2 linked regions of the Mus musculus genome follow. The protein of the gene in region 1 purifies or fractionates together with the protein of each later gene. This does not show direct contact. Links are inferred from orthologs where the notes say so. Each region holds a gene or a part of one and is shown in the gene's direction. Other genes may lie near its edges. The genes, in order: Pfdn2 and Pfdn1.

Evidence for each region.
Region 2: the proteins of Pfdn2 (region 1) and Pfdn1 purify together in Homo sapiens (affinity purification with mass spectrometry; 5 studies listed by BioGRID and IntAct, counting the BioPlex papers as one, with this or other methods). This does not show direct contact. The link is inferred for Mus musculus from reciprocal best matches to the Homo sapiens genes PFDN2 and PFDN1.

The regions. Positions count from the first base shown.
Region 1 is NC_000067.6:171,344,277-171,348,736, forward strand, and holds the start of Pfdn2 (prefoldin subunit 2), read left to right. Parts: upstream 1-1,398; 5' UTR 1,399-1,435; coding exon 1,436-1,510; intron 1,511-4,460. Other genes in the region: Nit1 (deaminated glutathione amidase), read right to left, coding at 12-263, 638-724, 1,292-1,293. UniProt on the Homo sapiens protein: Binds specifically to cytosolic chaperonin (c-CPN) and transfers target proteins to it. Binds to nascent polypeptide chain and promotes folding in an environment in which there are many competing pathways for nonnative proteins.
Region 2 is NC_000084.6:36,447,947-36,451,755, reverse strand, and holds part of Pfdn1 (prefoldin subunit 1), read left to right. Parts: intron 1-509; coding exon 510-676; intron 677-3,809. UniProt on the Homo sapiens protein: Binds specifically to cytosolic chaperonin (c-CPN) and transfers target proteins to it. Binds to nascent polypeptide chain and promotes folding in an environment in which there are many competing pathways for nonnative proteins.

The DNA.
Region 1 (4,460 bases):
TACCCTTGTACCTGGCAAGCTGGCTATATTGGCCCAAAAGATCCCCATTCAGTGGTTCGGACAGGAGTAATGTCTCGGCAGGGTTTCGTGCAATAAAGTCAAATGCCTCAGGCAGAAAGGCCAGGCAAGCACCCAGTCTGGCAGCCTCTTGAACCAACTCAGCACATGTTTTAAAGTTCTCTTGCTTGTTTGGTGTTGATGTTACCTGGCACACAGCCACCAGGGGCAGCTCCCAGGAAGTTGATGAGGACATGGTTCTGGGCCTGTGAATGACACAGGCAGTATCCTCAGATTTTCTATCTAGGAGAAACTCAGAGGCTCAAGTGGGGGTGGAGCCAGAAACTTTATTTTCTTTTGACTTTTTTCTTTTTTGAGACACGGTCTTTTGTAGCCCAGACAGGCCTTTCTATGTAACTGGGGATGACCTTAAACTCCTGGTTGATCCTCCTTTTTTTCGAGTGCTGGCATTACAGGTGACCCCAGCAACTTGTTTTCATTCTTACAGAGCATAATAACCCTAGAGCTACTGGAGTTCACTCATTACATGTTTGGAGATATCTTTGTCTCCCACTATGAAGTTAATAAACACGAACTAAGCAGCTATGCGCCAGAGAGAGAACATTACGAAATATGTTACCTGGGCTGAGTACAAAGTACTGGGGTTCGAAGTAATCGGTATCCGGTACACAGGAGTTGGTGAGGAGGCCTGGTGATGAAGCCCAGCCTGAAGAAGGTGAGAAATCAGGACACCTAACCCTCTTTCAAGCCGTAAGTTTCTAGAATTCTCTGCCATTTCCAGGCCTGGCCAGTAATCCCCTCCCCCAAGGCTTCGAAAATACTTTTTACTACTAGTAGCTAGGAAAAGATATAAAATGGGAAAATGGGAGAGGCGACTATGATCGGTGCCTTAATACCTCAACTTCCAGTGATCTCACATTAAAACTGAAGCCCTTTTTCCTTTGCCAAACGTTTCCGCAGTTCAAGTCATCTCATGGAACCTTCCTCGTTTCCCCAATTCTCTTCTCGGCTGTGCCACCTGCACAGCTTTATAGACTCAACACGTATCTTTCCCCTTATACCCGAATCTCAGAAGGAAAGTTCACCCTCCCTAGATCTCCACCATCTCATGGTGGGTAGATGGGTACAGGACCAGATCCCAACCCGAGCCCCCGCCCTCTGATTAGCGCGTCCTTCCCCGCCTCTCCCCCCCGGGCAAGAATCTCTGTTGCACAAGTTAAAGCATCGCAGGTGGAATTCACCGCAGCGGGCAGGGTTTGGGAGTAGGTCCTACATGAAGACACAGCCAAAACCATTCACGGGGTCGGATCTCAAGAGCTGCCAGGAGCCAGGAGCGCAGGAGCAAGTGGGCGGTAACCCCCCGGCCGGATGTGACGCAGTGAGAGTGCGCAGGCCGGAAAGCTTGCAGGTGGGGAAGATGGCGGACAGCAGCGGTCGTGTGGGCAAGAGCGGCGGGAGCGGCGCGGGGAAGGGGGCGGTGTCGGCGGAACAGGTGAGGAGCCGCGAGCGCACAAGGCACCCGGGGCGGTGTCGAATTCGTGTAGAAGATAAGATTTGTGGCTCGAAGGGGCCTTTAGTCCTTTCCACGGTCTCCATGGGCACGCACGGGGGAGAGGGGGTCTCTGGAGGTGATCACGAACCTTTCTAGAGCCTGGGTAGGTAGGGGAGAGGCACGCCCGCGGTGTGGGTGGGTAGTCAAGGGAGAAAGCCCTGAGCTGCAGGGTCTGGGAGGGTTGGCCAGGTCTCTGAGAAGATGGATCGTAGTTTGCCCCCTCTCCGAGGTACCCTAAAGAGCGTATGGTGTTTGGCGTGGCATCTAGTAACGAATTCCAAGCTGTTCTTAGTCAGTGAGTGGCTTATGTAGTTCATGGCTCAAAAACCGTGTTCACCATCACCAACACGCTGCAGAGCCACGTGACTCAGACTCTGAGCAGTTTAGTGTTCCGTAAATTATTTTGACTAAGGAGTCTGTGGTTTGTTTGTTTGTTTGTTTTGTCTTGGAGGTGGGGATGAGGGTTGCTATAGGGTCGGGTCCGGCCTTGGCTTTTCCGGAATTCACTTTGTAGACCAAACTGGCCTGGAAGATCCGCTTGCCTCTGCCTCCCACATACTGCGATTAAAGGCTCGGATTATTTCGTCTTTGAGACACGGTCTTACTAAGTGGCCTACGCTGGCCTCGAGCTTGCTCGGTGTGCTCTCTTTGCAAAGATTGACTTCGGAAGAGGGCAGAACCCACCCCCCACCCCCTCTCTCTTTCTCTTTCTCTCTTTCTCTCTTTCTCTCTCTCTCTCTCTCTCTCTCTCTCTCTCTCTCTCTCTCTCTCTCTCTCTTTCTTTCTTTCTTTCTTTCTTTCTTTCTTTCTTTCTTTCTTTCTTTCTTTCATGTGTGAGTACACTGTAGCTGTCTTCAGACACTCCAGAAGATGGAGTCCGATCTCATTACGGATGGTTGTGAGCCACCATGTGGTTGCTGGGATTTGAACTTTGGAAGAGCAGTCGGTGCTCTTAACAGCTGAGCCATCTCACCAGCCCCAGAAGAGTAATTTTAATCATAGGTACATTTGTCAGTTGGTTGTTGAACAATTCCTACAGGTAAAAGCATCAGCATAAAGAGTCTAAAACCCACACTGTCAAAGAGTTAGAAAGTAAGTGTTCAGGGAGAACTGAAGTGCAGGGGAATTCTGGAGATGGAAGAGGGTGTAGCCTCTGACATAGTGGGAAGGAAAAAATGCTAATGCTTTGGAGAGTCCGTCTTGTGTTTGGCTTTGCTTAACCCAGAGGAACAGGTAAATGAAATAGACCTTGTCTTAAACTTGGTCACAGCCAAGTGTGGTGGCCCATACCCATAATCCCCCTGGATTACCCTGTCAGTTCCAGGCTAGCCTGGGTTACAGAGTAAAACACAGTCTCAAAAACAAAACAATGAGACTTTATGTGTGTTTGCATGTGTATGTGCATATACCACATGTGTGCAGGAGCCCTCAGAGACCAGAAGAGTGGTCAAAACCTCTGATAACTGCCTATTAGCTACCATGAGGGTGCTGAGAACCAAACCCAGGTCCTCCGCTATAAAAGTAATCGTTCTTCCACCGAGCCATTTCTCCAACCCTACACTACAAACTTCTGCACATAATGAACTTTTCTTGCACAGTTTGGAGAGAGAGTCCAAAGTAGTGTAGATTTCGGATGTGGCAGGTAAGTAGGCAAGGGAATGGCGGGTAGTGGAATGGTTGGGAGGGTTTCCTGGCCTAGAATCAGAATGACCTGTGCTTGCTTTGTATTTCTTATTTATATATGATTTCTCTTGTTACCTTTTACCCTCGTCTATCTGTAAAAGCACAGTAGTTTTCCATTTCGTAACTAGAGTACTAGGCAAGAAAATCCATTTGGGTTTTGTTTTGTTTTGTTTTTTTCCACCATGACTAAATACAGAGACTACATAGTGTGTTTAACAAATGCTACTTAGAGCTGGAGAGATGGCCTCTGCACTCGAGCACCTGATCTCGCACAGACAGACACACTTGCACGCACATAATCTGAACAGTCTTTCTAAATGCTAATTTCCTTTTATTTTCTAGATTTTTTGGCTTAATTCTAAAGGCTGGGAAAAGTTAGTCATGTGAAGATTTTTTTTCGTTAGAAGTAGTGTGTTCAAAAGCATTGAGCCATGAACTGCTTGGCATTGAAAATGCTGGAGAATTTAAAGAGATATATTGCAAGACCTAAAGAGATACAGTCAACTTTGTTCTTTGACACAGGGTTTTTCACGTGGCCTAGAACTCACCAGGTAGGCTAGGATGGCTGACCAGAGAGTCCATTGATCCTCCCTTTCCTCAGCACTGGGAAAACAAGCCTCAGAATTTAAGTTCACTAGCATTCCAGTGCCAGGCAGTTCATGCCTCAGTACCATGCCTGCCTGCCTGCCTGCCTTTTTTTTCCCTCCTCCTCCTCCTCCTCCTCCTCCTCTTCCTCCTCCTCTTCTTTTTTCTCCTCCTCCTCCTCCTCTTCCTTCTTAAAAAGTGTGTTCTGGGGCTCAAACCCTGGTTCTTTGGCTCTTTACCTGTGAAATTTTCTTCCCAGCCCAATTTAAGGTTTATTACTGATGTGTGTGTTAGCCTAGTGTGTCTCTCACAAGGAAAATAGGAGCAGGTAATACTTCGTACTAGGTGCTTGTTTTATTTTCTGTTCTTTATCATTTATTGGTTTACTATTGTTGTTTTGTCTGAGATAGGCTCTCCCTCTGGAACTTGCTGTGTAGACCGTGCTACTTTAGGCCTTGCTATTCTTGGCTTTGTGAGCCTGTGCAATGAAAAGTAGCTATTTACTTCCAGCATGTAATGCAGAGGCAGGCAAAGGGTAGCCATTCCCATTCTAAGAGAGAGGTAAAGCAGGGGAAGGCTTAAGTCTGAATTCCAAGAGGACAAGCATTATCTTACAATAATT
Region 2 (3,809 bases), on another chromosome or scaffold:
TGTCTTGTAGCTCAGCCTGGTCTCGAATATCTTACAAATCTGAGTCCCAAACAACTCCTGAATCTCCTGCTTCTGACTCCCAGTTGTTAGGATTATAGGTGGGAGACACCAGGTCTGGCTCTACAGCCAGGATTTTGAAATAACGTGGGTGTTTTGGATTCTAGTTATGCAATGCAGATGTAGTACGTTGTTTCCTGCTTTGGGTCTCTGGGTTTATCTCCTGAGTATTTTATTTATCCCTTTTATTACTCTCTGGCTACTTGATAAATATGGCTTTTTTTTTTTTTAATGCACATTTGTTTTTGTGTTCATATTGGTCATGCGGTCTATGGATAGGGTCAATGAATAGGGTACATTTAGAATTTGCATAGTGTGATCATTCTGTTGACTTTTATCTATGCTTATCTTGGTAAATCTTACAGCTTTGTCAAGTTAGCATGATCTGTTTTAACAAATCTAAATTTGACTTGAAAGTTTAATTTCCTAAATCAAGCACTTGTTTTTCTCAGGCCTTCACAGAGCTTCAAGCCAAAGTTATCGATACTCAACAGAAGGTGAAGCTTGCAGACATACAGATTGAACAGCTGAACAGAACGAAAAAGCACGCACACCTTACGGACACGGAGATCATGACGCTGGTAGATGAGACTAACATGTACGAAGGTGTAGGAAGAATGTGAGTAAATCAGCGCACCCTTCACGGGGCTCTCTTAGGAGAGGCTTCAGGGGAATTAAATGGCAGAATGGTTTATTTTCAAATTGGGTTACTTAAAAAAGAAAACTTGGGTTAAAATAGAGAAATAACTTGCAAAAGCTATCTTTAAAAAAAAAAAAGGCATAAAACCCCAGGTGTGTGTTTTAAAATTTTATGTTTTTCACTCTCTCTCACTCTCTGTCGGGGCATGGGTATGTGTGCCTGTGCCTGAGACTTCCCTGCCCACCCCACCCCACCCTGCCCATGCCCATGCCCATGCCCATGGAAATGTTAGATCTCTTGGGCCCAGACGTAGGTGCTTCTGAGCCTCGTGATATCGGTGCTGGCAACTGCACTTGGGTCCTCTTTCTGCAGGAGCAGCTAGAATCTTTAACTGCTGAAAGCTCTCTCCAGCCACTCCCCTTTCAAAAATATTTTTCATTGACTATGTATGCATGGTATGGCTGTGTGTTGGTCTTTGTGAGTGAGTGCAGATGCCCACTAATTTATGCTTTGTACTAATTATCAATATAATCTATTAATGCTTTATTTTAAAGCATTCTAAAGGAGTGGAAATAGAGACAGGTTATTGAGAAAGGAAGAGCACTCCTGAGAGTGGGCATGGGCTAGTGAGCAGGGAAGGGGCTGAAAAGCCCTGTTTGTTGACATAATTAACCACTCACGTTACATTCTTTCTATCAAAAACATATTCTTCTCATGAGAGAGATCAAGTCGTCTTTATGTTTTCTGAGAACATGAAGACTGGGAAAGCCCTTGTGTACGGGCCACATTCCATTTCAGTTAGCTAATGGGGAAGAGCTGATTGTCTTTAAGGTGGAGGGGAGGGGCTCTGTGTTTGGCCTTTGGATGTTATGGACTAGGTGGGCCTTTAAGTTTGGAGAGCTTTTAGTTAGAATGGAATTTGACCTCCGTCTTGGGATGACTTCTTTTGTGATTGACTGGGAGGAAGCATAACATGTGTAGAGTTCTGTAATGACTTTAGAATGACATCATGACAAGGTGACCCTTCCCGTGACTAATTTATTCTTTCTGCTGAGGAGTGATGGTAAAGGTTGGAACCGCAGATATTTTCTCTTCAGTTCACATGTTTTTCATTTGGTCTTATTTTAAGAGAACGAGAGCCCCTTTTGTGAGTTCTTGTTTTTAATTTTGAGATGTTCTGTTTCTCAGTCTGGCCTCCAACTCTGTGTAGCAGAGGGTGACTGAACTTCTGTCCTCCTGCCTCACGTCACCAAGGGCGGGGATTACAGGTGCTGTTCAGTATTAGCTCCAGTTTGTGAGGTTGTTAATGGTACAGAACAGAATGGGAACCAAGTAGAACCCTTGATTGTGTGTCACGTAGCAGGAAATGTTGGCATTCACTGCAGGGTAATTTTCATCCCTTAATTTGAGTATCCTTGGGTCTTAAAACAGTGATGCCAGCCTATTACTTGGAATTCACACCATTACTTTAGCCTTTGTTTATAATAGCTAAAGTTATAAAGTTTTTGTTTGTGATTGATTTGTTTGTTTTTTCCAAGCTGGCCTTGAACTCAAAGGGAACCACCACCTGCCTCTGCGTCCTGAGTGCTGGGATTATATGTAGCGCTCCCCCTGACCCCCAACGCTTTGTTGATTTATGAGATGGGGATTCACGTGGCCCAGGCTAGCTTCCTGCTAGCTTCTCAGAGACCTTGCCCATCTGACCTTCCATCTTCCAAGGGCTAGGGTTACTCTGTGTACTTCATTGAAAATAATGTTCTCAATTTTCAAAAAGTTTTAAATTTTAATTGTTTTATGTTTGATTTTAAGAATCAAACCTAGGGCTTTGAGCATGCCAGACAAGTCTTCAGCCACTAAGCTGCACCCCCATCCCTAAAGTTTTATATTTCTTTAGAATAATGACATTTAGTAAGCATTGTGCATAAGTTGTGGGAGTTAGTTTTCTTTTTTCATATTGTCCAAAATTCTACAAGTAGATTGTAGTTCATGCAAAGTATTACAGAGTTTAAAGGCTTACATATGGGTACTTAATGGTAGAATGGTATTATTTTATATAAATTATGTTTCTTAAGAGAAATGTGCAGTTTTAGAGTTTTGGATGAGCCTTGGTTTTAAAAGGAGCTTTGAGTTCTGCACTTGGTTCAGCGTGAGCTTGCCCTGCATTGTAGGGCATGTGAGGTGAAATGCTTCTGTCACTTGGCCAGACAGAGGATTGGTGCCGCGGGGCTGGAGAGACTTGCTGAGTGCCAGTCTGGTCATGAGGATGTTGCCTCTCTAGATGCTAACCCTGGAATGCCTCCTTCTGAGTTTATGGTCTTGAGTAATCTGGAGGAGTCTCATTGTTATTCCAGCCTTTCCCTTCCCTTTTAAGTACTACGTGAGAATTCTGACCATGTGACTTTACCCCATAGTTTATATTTTGAAACAAGATTTTAAAATCCAAAACCCTGTTTTGTTTTCGAGTCTGCAGTAGATTTTTCTACTTTTCTTTTGACCCACAATTAGCAACATTCCTCTTTTTTTTTTTTTTTTGGTAGAATAGGTTTCATGTAGCCCAGCCTAGCCTGAATTTTTGCTCACTTGTTCTTTCTACTCCCAGGCCTGCTCACATCCATTCTTCACCATGCCAGAACCAATCATCCCTCACAGACCCTTTGCTTATTATCCTCAGTCCTTATAAGGGAAAATCTACTCTTGTTAGCCTCACACTCATGGTCAGATACTTCGTTTTTAATTGACCCATCCAGCCTCAGGTCCTGCAGCTTCCTGCTCGTAGATTTAGAGTAGCACAGACATCTCATCCCGTGGTCCTTGTTTTTGTTTTATCTGTTCAGGAGGATTTTGAGACTTTATATGGTTTTTAAATATGTTTTGGCTGATTCGTGATGTCTGTCATGGAGGGCGGGAAAGAGACCCAGCACACGCACCACACATTTTTACCCTTGCCACATGGTTTTTGCTTCTTTGGTTTTTTTTTTTTTTCATGTCATGTTTTGTGGGGGTTTTTGTTTGTTTGTTTGTGTGGGGGGATCTTTGGTTACTCCATTTTTGGCCTTCAGCATTTCTCTTTCCCTTGTGAAATTCTCATCCTTCAAGATATGGCTTAGATCTT